Linked DNA regions of Arabidopsis thaliana. The main gene of each other region encodes a partner of the protein of the gene in region 3 in a complex. Each region holds a gene or a part of one and is shown on either strand. Other genes may lie near its edges. A codon is read from its position in the direction of its gene.

Region 1 (8,119 bases), 5.1 Mb from region 3:
GTTTAATTAGTTACCGAATTACACAGGTAGCAAGACTAGACCCTGAGAAATCCATACCGCATGCTGTTCTTAGTCGAGCTAAAGGTTTGGCAATCATAACGGTTGCCAAGGCTGGGGCTTTACTGTCATACAAACTCGGGACTGGTCTGGTAATATCTCGGAGACCAGACGGGTCATGGTCTGCTCCATCTGCCATACTATCAGTAGGTCTTGGATGGGGTGCACAGGTAAACTTCATCTTTTCCATTCAAGACATGCATGTTAGAGTTAAAGATGCGTTTTCAATAGCCACATAAGAAGATTTGTACTCTTTTTGTCAGATTGGAGGTGAGTTGATGGACTTCATAATAGTGCTTCATGATGTGAAAGCCGTGAAGACATTCTGCAGCAGAATGCACTTCTCTCTAGGCGCGGGATGCAGTGCAGCAGCAGGGCCTATCGGGAGAGTGTTGGAGGCTGACCTTCGAGCTGGTGACAAAGGCTCTGGTGTCTGCTATACTTACAGCCGCAGCAAAGGTTTTCCCCATCTCAACTTCATGCCTTAAGTTTTCTCTTTATCTATAATTTGGCCAGACTCGTAGCTCAATAATACAGAGGAAGTTGAAATGTAAATCTATAACCTGAGAGAAGTTGTTGTGTTGTGTGAACAGGGGCATTTGTGGGAGTATCTCTAGAAGGAAATCTGGTGGCAACAAGAAGGGACATGAATGTAAAGTTCTATGGTGATCCATACCTATCCACATCGGACATTCTACTTGGGATGGTGGATCAACCCAAGGCAGCTGAACCGTTGTACACCGCCCTCCGAGAGCTCTATGCTCGTTTGCGCCCGTAATCTCCATTCACATTACAAACTACGCTTTGTATATATACGCTTCTCAAATTCGTTTCTATTAAAGTGTAAATGTACATAAATTGTTTCTCTCTAGAACCAAACAGTTGCTTCCCCAAACTGTGTGAACGATTTGGGATTTACTTATTTTATCAAAGCTTGTTTACCTTTTTGAAGCTTGTTTATCAAAGCTTGGTTCTATTTGCATGTCTATTCATTTGTTACAGATAAAATGATATTGGCAAGTCCCTTAAATATGATGCAAAATCTATAACGTTCACTATTTTTACATTCTCCGATTCATTATAAAGATAATGGAAAGAAAAAAAACCTTGCATTGCAAAAAAACTCGTGAAACATTAGAGGAATCAATCAATCATTTGGTTCCAAGGCAAAAGTACAACAAAAGAAGAAACATGAACCTAAGGTACAAAGCTAAGGTACAAGCAAGCCACCGTTGGAGGTCTTCTGAGACTTCTTCCTGTAATTTGAGACACTACAATTTGGGCACACATATTCCAACCCATCTGTTTTTGCATAGTCCTGTATATATCATATGTTGCATCAGTACACATATTATTCATTGATGCTTATTACGAGTTTACGATGTGTTCGTTTAGTTACCTTGAAGGCGCCGAGGCCAGGCCTTCTGTCACATCCGAAATGAGCCCACTCTCCACATGATCCACAGTTCACCCAGTCACCAGCTGTGCTACTGTTTCAACCAAACCAAACCAAAGCGCGTTAACAAACAAGGCGTTATTAACCGTGTACACAAGAGAGAGAGAGGGTTCTTAATGTACCTGCGACATATTAAACAGCACTCTCCATCTACATCATCATGAGCATACTCATACTCCAATAGATACGTCTCATAGTGTCTTTTCAGGGTATTACCCACACCCTGCCATAATAACCCCAGAGCTGATGATCAGATATACATTCTCTGATTTTTCAAGAATAAATCAAGTGGTGAGACAAGAAAACAAAATCATTTACAGTCATTCTGTTTGTGAGTGTGTGGTTGCGCATCTTTGAGAAAACTTGTCCCTTCCAGTTGATCCCATTACCTACATGGAACCCTCCCCGTGATACAACCTGCAACAACTCTCATTATTAGCTCACCAAATGTAATGCTGGCTGCCTTGGTTGAACAAAATCAAATCATTGCTTAACTACCTCTCTATACAAGTTGAAGAGATCAAGCCGTTTTGAGTTGAGAACAGCATCTGGAAACTCCGCTAGTCCCCCTGGAGGAACTAGCCGGGTATGTCCTCGTATTAGCAGAAACTGCATTACATCCCTCAGAAACTCCTCCTACATATATAGAGATAGCAATGTTAAGAGGAGTTTATAAGTTCAAACTATTCATCACAAGAAAAACAATGCAAACCTCTGAGCAAACTTGAATATGCGCTCTTCCACAGTCGTGTTTTTTTAAAGGTAGAGGGTTTAGTGAGATGATTTGCTTTCTCTGGTACGAACCAGAGAAAGCTTTACGGTGAGTTACTGGAGTGCCACCTGATGCACCATGCTTTGGAGGCATAGGCAAGCTTCCTTTGGTGTGGTCACCATCAAATCTTCCAATTTCAGAGTAACCAGAGAAAGGTATCATCTTATGTCGACGGGTGTGAGGTATTGGTCTCAAAGCAGCCACGTTGATTTTCCTTGATGTAGGTCCTCCGTTTTCAATTTCCTGAATATAAATATTGTCACAGCATCCAATCAGTATATACATGAAGACTGATGAACATTTGGCAGAAGTATGGCCACAAAACTTATCCCTGATTAGAGTTGAAATCATAGAGTCTAGCTCATGAACAAAGAATAATTCCAAATTAACATTTTGTATAGAGAGAAAGTTTCAACCTGCGATATCCGAAACAGTACCTTACTTTCTCTGCATGGCTCGGATCTTTTTCTGGTTGGCAAAGGAGGTGTTAACCAGTTAGGAATTTTGGATAAAAGAGCATCATGATTTGAAGTATCATTGATCTGTTGTCCGCAGAAGAAAAGTAAACGTTCTGCATCATCTTTCTCAAAGGAAGCAACAGACAACCCCTGAATGCTAGCTACTCCAAGAACGACTAAACTGCGGTATGACACATCCGGCGCCAACTGTCTTAAAACCTGTCGAAAGCAAAATAACCTTTTCTTAGTCACGCATTAGCAAGTGGAAACTCATGAAACGCAAAAAATCCTGAGAACCCAAAGAGAATGTAAATCACATGACTATCTGGATGTAATCACTTAAAATGCACAAGTATCATGAATAAAGAGTGAAAGCAATAAAGCACGAAAAATGGTCCTTGGACATCCCAAAGCTTGAGTTAAACGTTAAGAAACATGAAAAGCCTTTATTTCTACCCGTTACAATTTCATAACAAACTTTTCATCTGAAACTCTTGTGACTACTTTGGCTGACTAAATTGTTGAGAAACTTGGAAACAAGGTGCATGAGATAAATAATTGGGCTAAAGATTACTATCTACAACAAATATAAGTCGAGGAAAGAAAGAGATTATTAACCTGCAGAGCCCATGTTGGGACTTGCATCGAAACTTCACACACACTTGCTCCACAAGCTATTGAGGCAGATCTACGAGGCTCAGAGAAACCCCGCTTTGTTTCTTCTGAGTTCACCACTGAATGGACTAGTTGGATCTTCTCAACGACCTCATGTTTTATGTGATTTTCCAAAAGCTGATATTTACATAGGAGATTAATAATAAATCCCATTGCACATGTATGCAGAGATAAGCTATATTTCAAAAGATATAATCCCTTGCCTGATCACTGAAACAGGTCTGCGCATTTCCAGACACAAGCATTGATATGTGTGCTGAAGAACAGGTCGAGACATCACAACGCATGGTCACTACACCACGAGTAAATGTTCCTGCTTGAAGAGGAGGTGCTGGAGCACTGCAGTTTCAATTTTGATCAGCAAAAAAATGAAAAGTAACCAAGTACGTCTTAAAACTAAGTCAAAAGGCACAAAACCATAGATGATTAATCTTAAGGTTATTCGAGGGATGCGCAACATATCATTTGGCTATAGAAATTACATACCTAGAACGGTTATGGAGCTTACTTCCTCGCATCTGGAACAATATAAAAAAATAACGTTCTTTTAAAAGGACTAAAAGAAGACATATACAATTAAGTCCATCCATACATTTTAGTATGCGCACTAATGAAGAAATATCAAAACTGTAAACTACCAACTACTCACTTCTATTCGCAAGAGAGCATTAAGTCCATCCATCAAAGATCCCAGTAAAAATGTATCCTGAAATAGAGAAAAAGCTTTGTAACTGAAGATAGCATAAAGAAATACTAACATCTGCACAAACAAGCCAGTATCATAAAATGCGCGAGAAGGTCAACAACACCCACCACTGTGCATGGTGGTCCACACAAAAGAAACCTCACAGTAACATCTTCATCATATATCTTTATTGATGGGAGGCTCTCTAATGAATTTTCCTCTTCTAGTTCATCAGCTTCCGGTGAAACCACATCAATCTTTGGAGGTTCTCCAAGCAAGCAAGGTCCCATCTCATAATTCATTTTACGGTTGCTGTTAGAAGGAAGGACAGCATTGTCACTTGTACAATAGAGTCGGAAAGATGCTTCTGCAACATGGAACACATCCCATGTATCGCTGCACGAACTGCATTGCCAAAGAGCATATCACTGTCAAATAAATTTGTAGACTAGGGGAAAAAACTATATAAAATATAGATGTAAATCAGACTAAAATTAAGGCTTGTCGCTATGTCAGATGCTCGAGTAAACAATTACCTCTGTATGACTGAAAACAGAGAATGGCGAAAATGGCAGGCTGCATATTTCGAGAAAACATTTTTCCAATAAATAACATATTGAACACCCTGCAAAAGAAAATCACCATTAGGTGAAATAGAGCAACAAAGAGGTAATAAGAAGAAAAGTGAAAGGTGCTTATCAAGAGTGGTGTACCTTAGAGTAGAGTGCTTGAGCTAATTCTTCACCATTTGGGAGCTCAAGGTAAACCTGTGAAAACAATATGATGCCAAAACATATTAATATCTCACTAGGTATGGAAAATGTTTTAACATTCATGTAGAGGATACTCTATGGAGCCTTTTAAGCACATTGTCAAGAGACTAACAGCGATTTATTAAGAAAATCTTAGTGGCATGAGGCATCAACGTAAAAGGAAATCCTTAACTAAAAACGAGAAACGTAAAACAACGAATGATGCACCTACCGTTGTCGGTAATGTGGAACCAAACAGAGTAACCAAGGCATCAGGAGTAGAAAAATCAGTATATCCCAACACTAAGGGACCAACTTCATCACTATCTCCACTATGTTCCCCTTGCAAGTACACAAAATCCGTTGCTGAAGAGTTAACAGCAACCTGGAACTCCTCCGGCGTAGGATTATTCAGTACCTGAAACTACAACATGAAAAAAGCATACACCAAATGCTTTAACATCTCCATTAAGAAATCACTTAGAACCAAGATTCTCCCATCAAGTCTACCAATTTCTAAAGGCCTCAAGCAACACAACCTATAGCAACAACTCTCACCAGCTAACAATTCCCAAACTTAGTTCAACATTGTCTAAACTTACTAAAGGTTCCAACTTTCAACCAACAATCTAGCAAATCAATTACGAGAATTAGAAAAGTGTTTTTACCTTGAGACGCCCTGAAGAAGAGAGATCTGGAAAAGGGTATTTGGGTTGATGAGAAGTTCCATCTATCTGGTTATTAGTATCGCAAAGCTCTGCTCCAGAAACAACTGCCACAACATTACAACGGTTTCTCGAAAACCCTTGTCCATGAAACATCGTTCAATAGCATAACCAAACTTCTAATCTCTCTATGAAACTAGACCACAAAGAAAACCCTAAAGAAATTCAACGAATAAGTTCGTTAAGAACCCACTACTCGACCTCAAAATCAGCCCTAAGAAGAAGAAAAAAACCCTAATTTCGAACTCGTAGGAAGAAATCGACGGTACCCAGAAAAGAAGAAGACGAATTTTATTGGAAAAAGAGAAACCTAAACAGAGAGAAGAGGCCCATCACAAAAGATCACAAACACAAAAGATTAAAATTTAGAAAAAATCTGAAGAACAACAATAAACAAATTGATGAATCTTTTCTTTTAAGAAGCTATAATAATAATAATACTCTACAGTGTTTATCTTTGTAACACTAAAATCAAAGCAAAATTGTTAATCAAAAGGTAAGAGAAATTTAACTAAAAAACCAAACAGAGGAATTAATTAACAACAACAACTAAAAATGTTGTTGTGTTTGGTTTTTTTTTGTGTTTTTTTTTGTTTTGTTTCACATCTTTTAATCGTGTTTTAATTCAAAGCTTCGTTTAACTCTTTAGGAGCTAAAACCAACGAACATCATCATGAGGATGTAAGAGACTTTTAAGAAGATATGTTCATTTTACTTGGAACTTCCAAGTTCTACACTTTGATCATCGTCTGTCTCTTGTCCAGATAGAGCGAGTATAGACATCCTCTTCCCTACACTTGTTATTTGACCGCAACCGCAAGACTTTTACCATGCTGGTCGGTCAAACTTATTTTTGATAATTGTATTACAAAGTAAGCCTGGGCGGTCTGATATTCGAATCGGATTCAGATCAAGATATTTGGGTTTGGATATTTTAGATTTAGAATTCTAAGATCTGTTCGGGTATTGAAAGATTTCGGGTTTAGATCGGGTTTGGATCGGGTTCAGACCAAGTTTTTCGGGTTTGAATTCAAGTTTATCCGGAATATCCAAAATTTAAGATTTATATCAAAATATATTCAAATTACTTGAAAATACACAAAATTTCTAAAAAAAACGTTAGTATTTTTTATCCAAATCTATCGAAAATAGGTAAAGTATCCAAAAATATATAAAATATTTTAAAATCTAAATGTTTAATGTTTATGCACTTAAGTTGTTGTATATGTAATTATTACTAATTAGTCATTTCTAGGTATATATATTTTGGATATATTTGGATACTTGATCGGATTTAGATTCAAATCGGTTTCGGGTTTTGAAGTTTAAAATCCGTTTGGGTATTCTAAAATTTCGGATTCGAGTTTGGATCACGTTTTTCGGATCGGATTCGATTCAGTTCTTTAGATTCGGGTTTTTTGCCTAGGCATATAAAGCTTGGATATATTTGTGAAAAATCATTTTTCCATCTTTCTGTTACATATCGTGAAGTACTGGAGTGTTACTTTCCTGGGTCGTATATATTTGACATTTCTCATTGACTTTGAGCCATCCTAGCTGAATGTACGCATTGTGCTGCTTTTTATTAGCCGCCTTGTGTTGTTGTCATTGGTAAAAGCTACACTAACAATATGTATATTCTATCTTAGTGTAAAACATTGTCATTACCTATGTTCTATACTAAAACAAAGAATATACATATTGTGATTGTTGTTATCTATACATGGGACTTAATCTCACATGTGTTACTATCTATGAGTTTGTTGGAGCGTATTGAAAAATCGATGTGATCGACTATATCAAAATTATGTAAATAATGAAAATCTAGACGATCATGATATCTTATAATTTCTTAGTTTAAAGTATTTACATTTTTCTTATCTTAATTTAAATATATATATATATATATATATATATATATATATATATATTGATGTATATTATAACATTATTTTTATGAGTATAATACTAATTTTGTTAAATAGTTTATGTGTTTACTCATCAATTTATAAATTTGGGCCTCGTGTGAGATCTATAGATAAACATATTGTAATTCTTTGCTGGATGAAAGCATAAAACTTTACGTTAAGTCGTTATGTATAAATAAAAGTTGAAAATTACAAAATAAACGTGTTATTTGTTTTGCCTTTTTCTATAAGTCGGCCAAGCAAAAAAAAGAAGAAACATAGCAACTTCATCTTCGGCTATATAAAGAGAATGTCTCATAACTTTTAAGGATCATCCAAACAAAAAATACAAGAGAGAAGAAGAGACAGAGCAATAGAGATATATCAAGAGAGAAGTTAGATTCGCTTCTCTTCTTTTTTTGGTAAACGTTTGATTCTTCTTCTTTGTATGCTCTGAAGTTATGGGAGAACGCAAAAACCTAAACAAGTATTATCCGCCAGATTTTGATCCGAAGAAGATACACCGCATCAAGAAACCGAAGAACCAGCAGAAAAAGATTAGATTTATGCTTCCAGTTCGTGTTCGCTGCAACACATGTGGTAATTACATGTCGGAAGGCACCAAATTCAAT
Region 2 (8,546 bases), on a different chromosome or scaffold from region 3:
ACATTTTGATAATTAGACAACCATGAACATTTTATAGTTGACAAGCACATTCGAAATATAAATTTTTGAAGTAAATATTACAAGATATTATGATCGCTTTTTTTATATGTTTTAAAAATTAAACTATATTGCATGTCAAATTTAGATTATGATTATAATATCTATCAAAACATCAAATGTCTGGTTATCTTCATAACCGAAAAAACGAAGCAGATCATCTATATTAAAAAAAAAAAAAAAGATAGTTGCTCGGAGTCTAGTAGTCTACCTTAATACAAATCAAAAGAGTTCTTAAAATATATTTATGTTGGATAAAACCAGTTCACAGAACGCAAAAAATCATTTTTCTAATTAGGTTTTTAATAAACGAATCGTGTGTTTACATTTTACCCATATTTCATCTGGGCCTATGAAAAGTGAGAAATGAGAGAGAGTATGGGATCATGGACCACATGTTATCCCATTCACCAATGTATTACATCTATTTTTTTATACGCATAACAATAATGTTTCTTTTCCGTTTGTTAATGTCTCTAGATCTTGTTTTAATTAAACATCTCTTACTATTAGTTTGTTACTTTTTCTTTTCCTGAAAAAATGAAAGAAATAATGTATAACTTGCAACTTTATGCGCAAAAAAATACTATAAAACCCCATCTAAGACCTCAGATCTACTGGCCTAAGGTCCTTCATTGCAAGGCTTGTTGATAAATTAAAAGTTTTAAATCCTACGTATGGCTAATGTAAATGGAATATTCCTTAAATATGGGAAGCAAACATTGGGTATCCTTTTAGGAATCTCCGAGCATTTCGTAAACCACACATATATTCGTAAGAAAAGTCTTTGTTTCATCTAGAAACAAATCATAGTATTAAATTACAAAGATAAGATAGGAAAATCTCTGAGTATACAAGACTACACAACTCCCAGTCACAACGAGTTTCACTTTGCCCCATATTTTAAAGTTTTTGGTACAGTAACATTTTCAAAAAATAGCAATTTTTTTGAAGTTACTAGAGAACCTGCCGATTTACCCAGTACTGGTGGATATACATACACATTAGAAAGCATTCAAACTATTTTCTTGTCTAATGTTCCCAAACCAGGGTTACGAATAGCAGCACAAATCCATAACTCAACATAAACACTCGAGTCAAATTCAAATGATGATTTAGGAAGATAACAGGCTAATAATCGTCGGAATGTGTTTCCCTTTTCTTTTTTTTTCTGCCCAAATTTTCTCTGCAACACTCCAAAGAGAGGGAGAGATAGATGACAGAAAAACGTGGGTCAAAAAATAAAATGAAATGAAAATAACCAAAGCAACCTCCTTATGTATCCACCTTAACACAAACTACATCTGAAATCAAAACCTAAGTAAATAAAAAAGCATCACTACTAGACGTTTGTCTTTAAAACAATTCTACACTTCTACTGCTCAAGACGATGTTCAATTTCACGGCCACCATTACCCACCACACGCTTATCGCTTTCCACCTTAAATTACATAAACCATCATAATTCAAAAGAGAAAAGAGCACAAGCCCAGACACTCATCGCTTCCTCTTCTTACCGGACTTTGATTGACTCCCCTGTGACTTGCCTGATTTCGCTTTAGTTGCTGGTTCTGGCTCCTTGGGTGTCTCTTCAGATTCTGACTCGGAAGCGCTCTCTTTGGCCTTCGAAGCAGGTGTAGACGCAGAACCAGATTTTGCTTTACCCTTTCCTGTCTTGCTTTTGGCAGGTACAGATTTCACAGGTCCCGACTTGGATTTTGAAGAAGTTGTTGCCTTGGAGGGCTCTTCCTTTTTCTTGGATGAAGCTTTAGATTTCCCAGATTTCGATACGCTGCTTATATCTTTCTTCGACCTGCTGCTTCCTGATTTACCAACGGTTTTGGGGGGTTCCTCTTCCTCGCTCTCCTCCTCAGAGCTCGCCTCCTCTTCTCTGCTAGCTTCCTTTGAATCCTTCGATTTGCTCGCTGTTTTGTCATCCTGGGACGTCTTGCTGGACTTGGAAGCAGGAGTAGCTTTAGCCTTGCTTGATCCAGCTCCACTACCCCTGAATACATCAGAAGTACAATATTACGTATTAGTAGAGAATTATTTTAGAGACTTCAACACTTGTTAACTATTTGCTTTCAGTTTCAATTACTTTTTAGCTGATGAGTTGTCCATCTTTGATTGCTTGCCTGTCTTAGCTTTCTTCGTCAGGGGCCTGCATGACAAAATGCTAAGCTTGGTCATCACAAGTAAAAAGATGACATCTAGCTATTCCTTCCAGTGCCACATAAACAACGGAACTAAAGAAGTAACACGTACACTGTAGAGGCATCTTCCTCTTGACCCGTCTGATCAGCAGCTTCTTCATCCTGATGACAGAAAGTGTAAGTTACAAAATAGGCGAAGAGCAAAAAAAGCCAGAGATGGATGAAATATAATGCCCCACCTGTGACAATTCTGATTCATCCAGAGGACTCCACTTCTGATTCTTGAGATACAAGATTTCTTGATCTCCATCATCATAGATAACCTGCAAACGAACATGGCAACAGCATACAACAATTAAAATACCATAAAAAGGCCTGAAACAAAGATGTATAGCTTAGGAGAACATTCAAAAGGCTACTGGTTGACCACAAACAAATCAGGCGAACCAAAATAGGGGAGACGGATAAAATTGGGCTTACCAGATGTTTCTTCTTTGCAGCATCATATGACTCGACCACACCTTTATAGTACCTGCGGTAAAAAACAGATTACTCATTTGAAAGCATAGAAAACAAAAAATTACAATAACAGGTAGTCCAGATTCTGCTGTCTAAAGGAACAAACATAGAAGTCCAGAACAGAGAAAATGCAAATTGCCTTCTTGTAAATCAAATATAATTCCTAAGAAGAAAATACAAAATGCTTACGCTTGATCCATAGGCCACCAGACTTTGATCCTCGATCCAACTAAACTTTCACCAGATGCCTGCCCAAGAATTGATTCGGTATGAAAAAGTATACAAAAAGAAAAACTCGTACAGAGCAAAGGAAACCAGTACAATTAAAGGATAATCGTTTCAGAGAATATTTCTTCAACTTGAAGAGAATAAGAAGCTGCTCCCATGCACAATTACTACTGCAAATGGCAATTGGTGAAGTGAAGAAAACATACCTTCCCTTGGCCTAAACTTCGTTTTCTCTTTGTGTTTGAATTAGGACTTTCTTCTACCGTTTGCTTCGCTTCTTTCTTTGATTTTGAGGCTAGCTTTCCGGAGGAAACAGCTGGCTGAAAATAAAATTAAACCATATCGGTAAGAGGACAAGGACAGGGAAGTCAGATATGTATTCGAATCAATTCAGGTCAGGGAACTACTCACTTTTTCATTATCACCAGATGAAGTGTGTAATGACTCCTCATCAATGGCTTTCCCACGTCCTGGTTTTTTCTTTTCCTCTTTTGGCTTTGTGGATTCTTGTGCATTATCACTCCCAACTACCTTTTTCTCTGACTGCTTGGCTACTTTTGTCTCAGAGGTGCTTTTCTTTGAAGGAGGAACAGTAGGCTTTGTTTTACTTGACGAAGCAACCTTCTTTCCAGACTTTTTTGTCACCTGAGGTTCAGACGTGTTTGGTTCTTCAGAAACTTCTTCGGTAGCAATAGAAGCAGAAGGTTTGACCTCCTCTGTCGAGCTCTCCTTTTTCTTCTGGTTTGCAGTCTTCTTAGGGACGCTTTGCTCAGGAAGTTCCTCAGCCATTGACGGAGAACTGACATTGGCAGTTTCATCTCCTGATGTCTTAGATGGTAAAATCTGCACACTTTTATTCTTTTCATTTTCAGAAGAGGTGGCTGCGGTAACAGATGAATCAACAGGAGGCGAAGTTAACACATCCTTGCTGTCCAGGAGTTCTGCAGGTTCAGTCTCTTCTTTGATATCTGAATCTTTTGATAAATCCGCCTGTTTGACAGAACTAGATTCGTTTTCCTTTTCCTCAATTTGATGTTCAACATCAGGCTTCTCTTCAGTAGTATTATTCAAGTCAGTGTTTCTAGGATTATCAAGTTGCTGCGGCTCATCTTTGGCACCCGTATCGTCTTGCTTCTTCATGGAATCAGTATCAACCGAAGAATCATTCTGTTGCGCGACACCATTGCTAACTCCAGACTTACCAGATTCATCCTTAGGTGCATCAGTTCGCTCAGGGGTAGAAATTTCTGCTGCCTTCTGTTTATCATGTTTTAATTGGAACATAAAAATCAATTAACAATCTACAAAAGCTAAAAGAAGAAAGGCATCTATCCTTTTCATACAAATCAACAATGACTATCGTACCTCTACTTCCGTTTCCCTTTTTATATGACCTTGACTATCCTGGAGAGGAAAAATATGGAAGAACAGTATAAGAGCTAATGTAACTGAAGACCTGCATAATCACTAAAAAAGTTGAGGCAGTGCGGCAGTAAAAAAGGTGAGAAATAAAGGCTTACTTCTTTTTCATTTGCAACAACTTGGTCTTGCTGCAAAGCACTGAATGTCCCTTCACATATCGAAGCCACTATGTTACTATACTTATCTAGAGGGACACCCGACGATTTCACTGCTTCGGTCAGATAAGTTTTGAGCTTGCTAGCACAGTTACTGAGAACTTGTTCTGCCAACCTCCGTGATACTTGGGAAATCTGTTGATAAGTTAAAAGATTTAACAAAAGAGCATTGGTTGGTGATAGAAAATCAGTAGACCATCCATGTATTACCTCATCATCCTTTTTAACAGAATGTAGGATTGGTGAAAGCATCTCTGAAGGTATATCCTCGCTTTCTTCTAAAACAAGGGTCATTATGTTCTCCATAGATGAAAATACATTCCCTGAATGATGGTCCCTGAAAGGGTAAACAAGTTCAACATCAGACAAACATACTTATTGGATGTTGTACAAGCAAACATAAGCAACAAGCAATAGACTAGTTGTGAACTATATTGCGAGTACATAAAGTAAAGTAGCATAGTCCATGGATAGGTAGAACGACATGAATGAAATGATATCAAATGAGAACAACAACATCCATTAATCAAACATGACACAAGGAAATAAAGGAACAACAGGGAAATAAACAAGTAGACAATTCCATGTATGTGTATTTCCTGGACATTACATTACAAGATGAAAAAACAATGAGTTTAATTCTAGCATAATGGATATATTAGAGTGTACCTTATAGCCTTGAGGAAATGCTGGAACATCTCAATAAGAAGTGCATCACACTCAAGATCCAACATCACAACACATGACCTGACCTTAGCCACAGTTTCAAGGATAGATATCCTTTTAGCATAGGAACGACTAGATTTGTCAACCAGATCTTCAAATGATGATACAATCAACTTGAATACTTCCTGCACATGAATAGAAGAAAAGAGTCAGTAACCAACCAGCATAATGTCCACTCCCTCAAGAAAAAAATAACAAACAACTACATACCTTCATCTGGTCATCATCATAAGGAGCATCAGGAGCAGTTATTCTTGTAATCTCACTGATGCAGGCAGCGACAGCAACTTTGACATCGACATCTGAATGCTTGAAGAGTTTTCCACCGACTAATCCTTTCATCAATGGAGTGAGTGCATTCTGCATTGAGTCGGGAGGTGACTGTTCAACCTCCGCCAGGGATACGAAAAGTTTCTGCAGAAATAAAGCACAAGGATCATCAATCAAACTCACTAACTCCAAAACCACAGGGATTTTTATCCCAAACCGAGAAACAACCGTAACTAAGATCTAAAATGCAGGAATAAAAGCATTTGAGTAGATTCAGAGAGTAAAAGAGACGAAGGAAACAGAGCATTAAATCCAGAAATCGAGAGTAAACACATGCACAGACTTAGCATTGCCACGAATCCGAAGAAGAAGACCAAAATAAAAGAGAAAGAAACAAAAGGGGGTGGTGAAGGAGATGAGAGCTCACGTCAAGGAAAGAGAGAAGCTCATCGAGTGAAGAAGGCGGGTCAATAAGCTTTTCCCCAGCTTCAATAATCTGATTCTCGAGCTCTTTATCAGAATCCGACATGACTCCTTCTCCTAGTTTTCTGACTCGTTTCGCTCTTGCGTATCTACAATTGAATAGATCTCCTCTACAAACCCTAGATTCGAAAACAGAGAATTCTCAGCACCAAAAACCTAAAGCTTCCATTGAATTCCACAAATGGAAAGAGATGAGAAGACGGATTTAGCGAAGAAACTACGAGAAATTTTCCCCCCAAAGTCACTGAACAACACGCTAGGGTTTTTTTTCTTCTCTCCGCTCTCTCTTTTTTTTTTTTTTGTTCGCTCTCTCTCAATCTTAACAGTTTACAGAAAACTAAAGAAAAAAAAAAGTAAAGAAAAATAGGAGAGTCCTCAAGCGCCGTTAAAAAGATATATATATAATCTTTAAATAAAAAAATGGGATGTATTTAATATTTGGTGTACGGCAATTTATTAGTTGGTCGTCTATTTGACGAGATGTGTTTCTTCATTTATTTTTATTTCTCTTTCTCTTTTATGGAATTTTTTTATAGAAAAATGGAATACAAAAATCAAGGAAATCCAGTATTGCGATTTTTTCCCTTTATTTCGGATTTTACTTTAGATTATAAACTCAGGTTAGCTCATTATTTGCTTTCATATCCGATTTTTATATATTTTGTGAGTATTATTTGCTTTTTTATCAACCAGACTCACATGAAGCATATGAAAAATAAAATAAAAATGAGTATAAAGGATAAAATCCTGAAAAACAAATATATGTAGAAATTTGTAGTTGACATATTAAAGAAGAAAAATAAGAATTTGGTAAGATTCAATTTTAATAAGATTTTGTCACTATTAAGTTTATACGATTCTATATTAGATTGTTTTTTTGATTCTACATATGTACTATTTGGTATATTAAGATGTTGGGAATATAGACCTAGATAGAACTCTAAAAAGAAACATAGATTATTAAATTTATCGTTAACAGATCCATAAACTATAACGATTCATATTGCATTAACATGAAATCAAATATAAGATTCAACAACTAAAAACTGGATGAAAGAAAAAATATTAAGCGGTTTAAGAAAAAGAAAAAAAAAAATCATTTATTCCTAAGCATGTTGTCCCAAAACATAGAAATAAGTTTTGAATTTTGTAGGACTAACACTGTATAATATAGTCATCGTTATCGTATGTACACATATTAAAGGGCCTCCAGTTTATTATTTACCTATTGTCTCTCATGTCTATAGCTAATTAACACTTGGTTAGTAGAATTACTCAAACCTCAAGCGTGCAGCCCAATAGTTAGGCTGCTCAGAAACCCTATATGAAACACAAACGGGCTAATCTAACATTAGGCCCAAATCAGATTCCTAGCATCGTCGAGAAGCCCATAAGAGGGTTTGTATGCAAATATTAAACATTACTAAAAAATAGTGATAATTTGCTAGGTAGCACATTTTGATTGCTAAGTACTTGAAAAAAAAAAAAAAAAATTACTTTATCGCTAGCTACCTCCTCTCTCACTCGTCGCAAAGGTAGTCTTCACCCAGATAGAGAAAAAAAAAGACGTTAAAATGTTGTCATCATATTCTAATAAGACCTTATAGAAAACCCCTCTAAGCATATATTTTCTGTCAAAAAAAACATATTACTTTCTTATACCAAATTATAAACAACAATGTTGAAAATTATAGAATATTATAAGCACTGGTGGTAGTAGGTGTCGGTGTATGTGAAGAGCAAAGATGACTTTTCTTGGGGAATTTGCTTGAGTTCGCATTCCCACGGAAGAAGATAGCGACAAGTTTAAGCGGTTACAGAGACTTATACACGTTTCATATCGTACCATTCTCTAACAATGTGAATGAGATGATTTTGTAGCATGTTTACACATTAAAGTATAAGGGGGCAGGTATATTTAACCAGAAAAATTAAAGAGGATAGATACTAGAAGTATAAACAATGTGATATTCAAATTTCAAATGTATTATTAGAAAAGGAGTATAAGTAACACTACTATGCCAAAACTAATATGTAAAATCTAGATTAATCGAGCATGGCAAAACTAACTATTATAGAAATGAAACGGCAATAGATAAGATAAGTATGTTGTCGATATCCAGAGACAGCTAGTGCAGCTTTTAGTAGCCGAAGAAGAGTGTTCTCCATAACAGTAGATCATATCAAAACTTAAATAAAGTAGACTGTCTTTAATGAAAGCACTCACACTCCCACATGCCTCTCCCACCTTTCAATTATGTTGTTAATTATTTTAGACGTGTACTATTTCAAATTTGGACCATCCTTAAAATCTTGTAGGGTTTTTACAAAGTACACATCGAATATAAGCATTACTCTTTTAACAAAAGAGAAAAATATAAACTTACTCAAGTTTTTTAAGGATGAGTACTCACTCATAAGCCAAAAAAAAGGTGGAAAGATACAGTATTAATTTAACCATATAATAATAGTAAAAAAGCTGATAAAATTGGTAAAAGTAAAAGCTAACAAACTCTATAACTTTATAACAATA
Region 3 (4,110 bases):
TCAGCAGTTTGTAGCTTGATGAAGCAATGTCGTTTGATCTCACCCAATGCACTTGACCAGGCCACACTTTCCGGTGAGCTTTGTTTGGTTTTGATGGCAATGTGGTTAATAACTCAGAAGGTTGAGGTGAAGTCAAAGAGTTGACCGGTCTTGTGTTAAGCGGTGGTGGAAGAATCCGGTAAGTTCTGACAAGACCATGTTGCCGACCTTGTCGTCTCATCTCAACCGTCGAATATTAAAGAAAGAATGAAAGAGAGAGAGAGATTTTTCGAATTTGGAAGTTAGCTTGAATGATATATAAGCCAAGAAGAGCTTTAATGGAGTCAAAACGTAACATCCAACAACAAGAGTAGTTTGTGGGTTAAGTCAATGAGTTGTTGTTATAGATAACGTGCAGGTCTTAAATAATTGAAGACTTCTTTATCTTTGCCATTACAGAAAAGAAAAAAAAAACAGAACATATATGAATTTAGAATTTGAGGTTACATTATTGTTTATACTTAGTACTCACAATTTAAAAAAACTTTGATTCAATTTCTTAAACCTTTTTTTTTTTTAATATCTGAAAGTTCAAATCTAAAAATCATATATCTTCTCTACATCAGGTTAAATTCAACTCTTTTGGAAAAGAGATACCTTCCACCTCGAACTCAGCACCTCCACCTAAAAAATTTACCACTGACCAACAGTACATTGGTAATTTCTTAAACTTATTGTGATGAATTAATCGATAAAATAACACATAATTCTCACCACTGAAAGAGGACTTTGATAACAGAGAGAAGATTATGCTGCAGGAAAATAAAATGATTAACCCTGCTTTGGTCAATAAATTAGAACCATTTTGACACAAGTCACTAAGACCTGAATACAGATGTAACAATATACAAATAAGTTACAACCAAAATGACAACTTCAATTGCAAATCTAATAAGTTAAACTGAAGACTGATTCTTAGAAAGTTGCAAAAGTAGATTAAATTTTCATTTGGGCATTTCATCGAACATCTGGAAGACACTTCAGAACAAAAGACTAAGAAAACTCAAAACCAAATCTAAAACATGAATCTACAAATCTTATGAGAGCAAACAAGCAAATCTACACTAGACCATTGTTTTTCTTCTTCATCTTCTTCAAATCTTAAGCCCTCTCACCTCTAATCCTCCTCGCAAGTTGAATATCCTTAGGCATAATCGTAACCCTCTTAGCATGAATAGCACAAAGATTAGTATCTTCAAACAATCCAACCAAATAAGCTTCAGCTGCTTCTTGAAGAGCTGCGACTGCACTACTCTGAAACCTAAGATCCGTCTTGAAATCTTGAGCTATCTCACGAACCAATCTCTGGAAAGGAAGCTTACGGATCAAAAGCTCTGTGCTTTTTTGATACTTTCTGATTTCACGTAACGCTACTGTTCCTGGACGGAATCTGTGTGGCTTCTTCACTCCTCCGGTGGCTGGAGCTGATTTCCTTGCTGCTTTCGTCGCCAGTTGCTTTCTAGGAGCTTTTCCTCCGGTGGATTTTCTAGCTGTTTGCTTTGTTCTAGCCATTTTGAGAATTCTTGACAATGAAAAATTTGAAGCTTTTGATTGTTGAGACTGTCGTGTTTGATTGGTATATACAGAGTGAGGTTGGGATGCTTTTTTATACTCAAAGAAGAGAGAATTTGGTCCGTTAGATGTGTTTTCCTCTAAACGGTCAAGATTGTTTTTATCTTTGCTATCTGCGTCGTATGTTAAGTAACCAATCAGAGTGATTCTTTCAGTTGTCGAGGATTCTACACGTGGGATATTTATGATGACGTGTTAATTATTGCGATGTGTAACGGTGTTTGTGATCCAAAGACTCTGAGTGAGACAGAAGTGTTTTCATCTTTGATATTACGATCTGTTCAATGAATTTATTCCATCAACAGATTGCGAAAATTTGTAGGCTTTTACAATACAAACTCTGATCTCTCTCTATTTGTGATATCTGTTTTTTTTACTTATAAAATATCACATAAGCTTCCTCTGTTTCACAAGTTTGACATCCTGAATTGTGTTTTAAATCTTCTACATTGTCTCTAGTCTTCAAACATACATGAACATAAGGAGTTCAAGGCTCAAATCGGGCAACACTGAACACAAACGGGAGGCTGTTTTTCTATGTTGCAGTCACAGCAAGCTGTTAGGCAATGGTTGTTGCAGCCTGCACGTGAAGAACAACAACAAAAAGCAATGGTACCTTCCACAGTTAAAAAACATTATCGTTGTTTTTACTTTCTAGAACTAGTATTCGAAGCTATGGTACCTTCCACAGTAACAAATAGAGACTTCTGATGCTCCCGCAAGCTCGGAAAGAACTCAAACTGTTGTTTAGTTGCTGGAGCAACATCGGTTGCTGTTCCAATAGTAACCAAAGAGACAAAGAATATAGCTAGTGTTGCCGGTGTCATCTTTCTTGTTTGTTGTGTGATCAGTACTTGCAGTTATACTTACGCAGTCAATCATAAATGTCAAGGAAGTTATGATTGATACTTTTCTATGATTAAGCTATGATTGATAATACATCACGTTGTGTTCATGTGTACAGAAGGCAGAGACACAAGTACATGAAATGATTTTATCATAGGCCAATGCAGAGGGAACACAAAAGAGTAGATGATAAGTAGATGAGGTTTAAGTTTACTCGAGTTTTATTACTTAAAGAGGAGATTTTCAGCAAGATACAACCACAAAGCTCATCTACTTGGGAAGACTTGCAAACGAGTTTTTTTAAGGCGCTAATATTTGGCAACAACAATACAAGAATGAATTGAAAATCCGAAGAGGTTTTGTGAAGATTATTAGCTTCAAACGTTAAGACTGATGAGTTTCCCAACGGATCCCGCACACAAACTTAGCTGTTTCAACGCTGAAGTTGCTTGATGTGAGTAATCTGTTTTCCTGGGTTCAAACCCTTTGGACAGGCACGAGCACAATTCAAGATTGTATGGCAACGGTAAAGCTTGAACTCGTCGTCAATAGCCTCAAGTCTTTCCTTAGTGTACTCATCACGACTGTCGCTTATCCACCTACACATACCAACAAGTCTCTTGTTACAAACACATCGAAAGGTCAAATTTCTATTGAATGCCCCATATATAGATCAGCTTCCTAAACCAAAACAACAATTCAGACAGTAATACAGTAGTGAAGAACCACATAAGTGAAATCAATGCAGCTAACAACAATATATGAGAATCTTCCCAACCATCCATGCAAATTCTGAAAGCAAATTCCAAGAGTGAAGGGTTCCTAGTTCTACAATTTGCAACCACTTTCCATCAAAATAGACTTGAATGAGAATCAATGCAGCTAAACAACAAGATATACAAAATCTTCCCAACCATCCATGCAAACTCCAAAATCAGACTACAAGATAAATCGTTTCCTAGTCCTACAATTGGAATTCAATTCCCCAAAAAGCCAACTTCTATATCCATTTTCAACATACCAATCCTTCAAACAATCTTTTTTTCACTTACCAAGACAGCAAAATAGACTTGAATAAACAACATATATGGATCAATGCAGCTTAAAGCTTCCTAGTCCTACAATTTTGCAACCAATCCCTCCAAACAAATCCAACTTCTATATCCATTATCAACAAGCAAATTCTCGAAACAATCATCAAACACTATCATTTCCCCCACTTACCTATTAGCGTGTAGCAAAGCAGCTGGACCAAGGTAAGACTCAGGATTCCACCAGTAACTAGGACAAGATGTGCTACAACAAGCACAAAGAATACATTCATACATCCCATCAAGCTTAGCTCTATCCTTCTTACTCTGCAAAATCTCCTTAGCAGGAACAGACGCTGGAGTCTTCCTCTTCAACCACGGCTCAATACTCTTATACTGATTATAAAAATTAGTCATATCAACAACCAAATCCTTAATCACAAACATATGAGGCAACGGTGTAATCGTCGTCTCCGATGCTTCATCTTGAATCTTTGTCAAACAAGCAAGTCCGTTACATCCATCAATGTTCATAGCACATGAACCACAGATCCCTTCACGGCATGATCTACGGAAAGTAAGAGATGGATCCATTTCGTTTTTGATCTTAATCAAAGCATCT

What was found.
Region 1: the proteins of AT3G27360 (region 3) and AT3G43240 are in contact, whole or in part, in a crystal structure (PDB 6LQE), measured with the Arabidopsis thaliana proteins. Residues at the interface, in NP_189372.1 of Arabidopsis thaliana: Ala2 (codon at 1,548), Arg3 (codon at 1,545), Thr4 (codon at 1,542), Lys5 (codon at 1,539), Gln6 (codon at 1,536), Thr7 (codon at 1,533), Ala8 (codon at 1,530), Arg9 (codon at 1,527); in NP_189910.2 of Arabidopsis thaliana: Glu675 (codon at 1,658), Ser683 (codon at 1,546), Thr684 (codon at 1,543), Ala685 (codon at 1,540), Gly686 (codon at 1,537), Asp687 (codon at 1,534), Trp688 (codon at 1,531), Val689 (codon at 1,528), Asn690 (codon at 1,525), Trp697 (codon at 1,504), Phe711 (codon at 1,462), Tyr714 (codon at 1,372), Ala715 (codon at 1,369), Gly719 (codon at 1,357), Leu720 (codon at 1,354), Glu721 (codon at 1,351), Tyr722 (codon at 1,348).
Region 2: the proteins of AT3G27360 (region 3) and AT4G31880 are in contact, whole or in part, in a crystal structure (PDB 7DE9), measured with the Arabidopsis thaliana proteins. Residues at the interface, in NP_189372.1 of Arabidopsis thaliana: Ala2 (codon at 1,548), Arg3 (codon at 1,545), Thr4 (codon at 1,542), Lys5 (codon at 1,539), Gln6 (codon at 1,536); in NP_194916.2 of Arabidopsis thaliana: Val615 (codon at 2,941), Trp616 (codon at 2,938), Trp617 (codon at 2,935), Pro618 (codon at 2,932), Met619 (codon at 2,929), Asp620 (codon at 2,926), Tyr624 (codon at 2,738), Tyr642 (codon at 2,527), Asp644 (codon at 2,521), Asp646 (codon at 2,515), Glu648 (codon at 2,509), Leu650 (codon at 2,503), Gln655 (codon at 2,488).

The regions. Positions count from the first base shown.
Region 1 is NC_003074.8:15,208,765-15,216,883, forward strand, and holds AT3G43240 (ARID/BRIGHT DNA-binding domain-containing protein), read right to left. Parts: upstream 6,184-8,119; 5' UTR 5,677-6,183; coding exon 5,524-5,676; intron 5,280-5,523; coding exon 5,088-5,279; intron 4,871-5,087; coding exon 4,817-4,870; intron 4,729-4,816; coding exon 4,640-4,728; intron 4,509-4,639; coding exon 4,232-4,508; intron 4,125-4,231; coding exon 4,068-4,124; intron 3,937-4,067; coding exon 3,905-3,936; intron 3,758-3,904; coding exon 3,622-3,757; intron 3,536-3,621; coding exon 3,362-3,535; intron 2,963-3,361; coding exon 2,723-2,962; intron 2,529-2,722; coding exon 2,226-2,528; intron 2,150-2,225; coding exon 2,012-2,149; intron 1,931-2,011; coding exon 1,832-1,930; intron 1,737-1,831; coding exon 1,636-1,736; intron 1,548-1,635; coding exon 1,457-1,547; intron 1,376-1,456; coding exon 1,268-1,375; 3' UTR 1,067-1,267; downstream 1-1,066. Other genes in the region: AT3G43230 (RING/FYVE/PHD-type zinc finger family protein), read left to right, coding at 27-227, 321-516, 651-835; AT3G43250 (coiled-coil protein (DUF572)), read left to right, coding at 7,949-8,119.
Region 2 is NC_003075.7:15,417,881-15,426,426, forward strand, and holds AT4G31880 (transcriptional regulator), read right to left. Parts: upstream 6,432-8,546; 5' UTR 6,060-6,431; coding exon 5,958-6,059; intron 5,675-5,957; coding exon 5,471-5,674; intron 5,386-5,470; coding exon 5,204-5,385; intron 4,872-5,203; coding exon 4,745-4,871; intron 4,670-4,744; coding exon 4,478-4,669; intron 4,362-4,477; coding exon 4,323-4,361; intron 4,215-4,322; coding exon 3,369-4,214; intron 3,278-3,368; coding exon 3,164-3,277; intron 2,978-3,163; coding exon 2,919-2,977; intron 2,743-2,918; coding exon 2,691-2,742; intron 2,534-2,690; coding exon 2,450-2,533; intron 2,373-2,449; coding exon 2,323-2,372; intron 2,219-2,322; coding exon 2,156-2,218; intron 2,063-2,155; coding exon 1,555-2,062; 3' UTR 1,067-1,554; downstream 1-1,066. UniProt on the Arabidopsis thaliana protein: Cohesin cofactor dispensable during the meiotic division but playing an important role in DNA repair by homologous recombination (HR) probably by helping SMC5/SMC6 complex.
Region 3 is NC_003074.8:10,128,319-10,132,428, forward strand, and holds AT3G27360 (Histone superfamily protein), read right to left. Parts: upstream 1,620-4,110; 5' UTR 1,552-1,619; coding exon 1,141-1,551; 3' UTR 787-1,140; downstream 1-786. Other genes in the region: AT3G27355 (Hop-interacting protein), read right to left, coding at 1-220; SDH2-1 (succinate dehydrogenase 2-1), read right to left, coding at 2,891-3,056, 3,682-4,110. UniProt on the Arabidopsis thaliana protein: Core component of nucleosome. Nucleosomes wrap and compact DNA into chromatin, limiting DNA accessibility to the cellular machineries which require DNA as a template.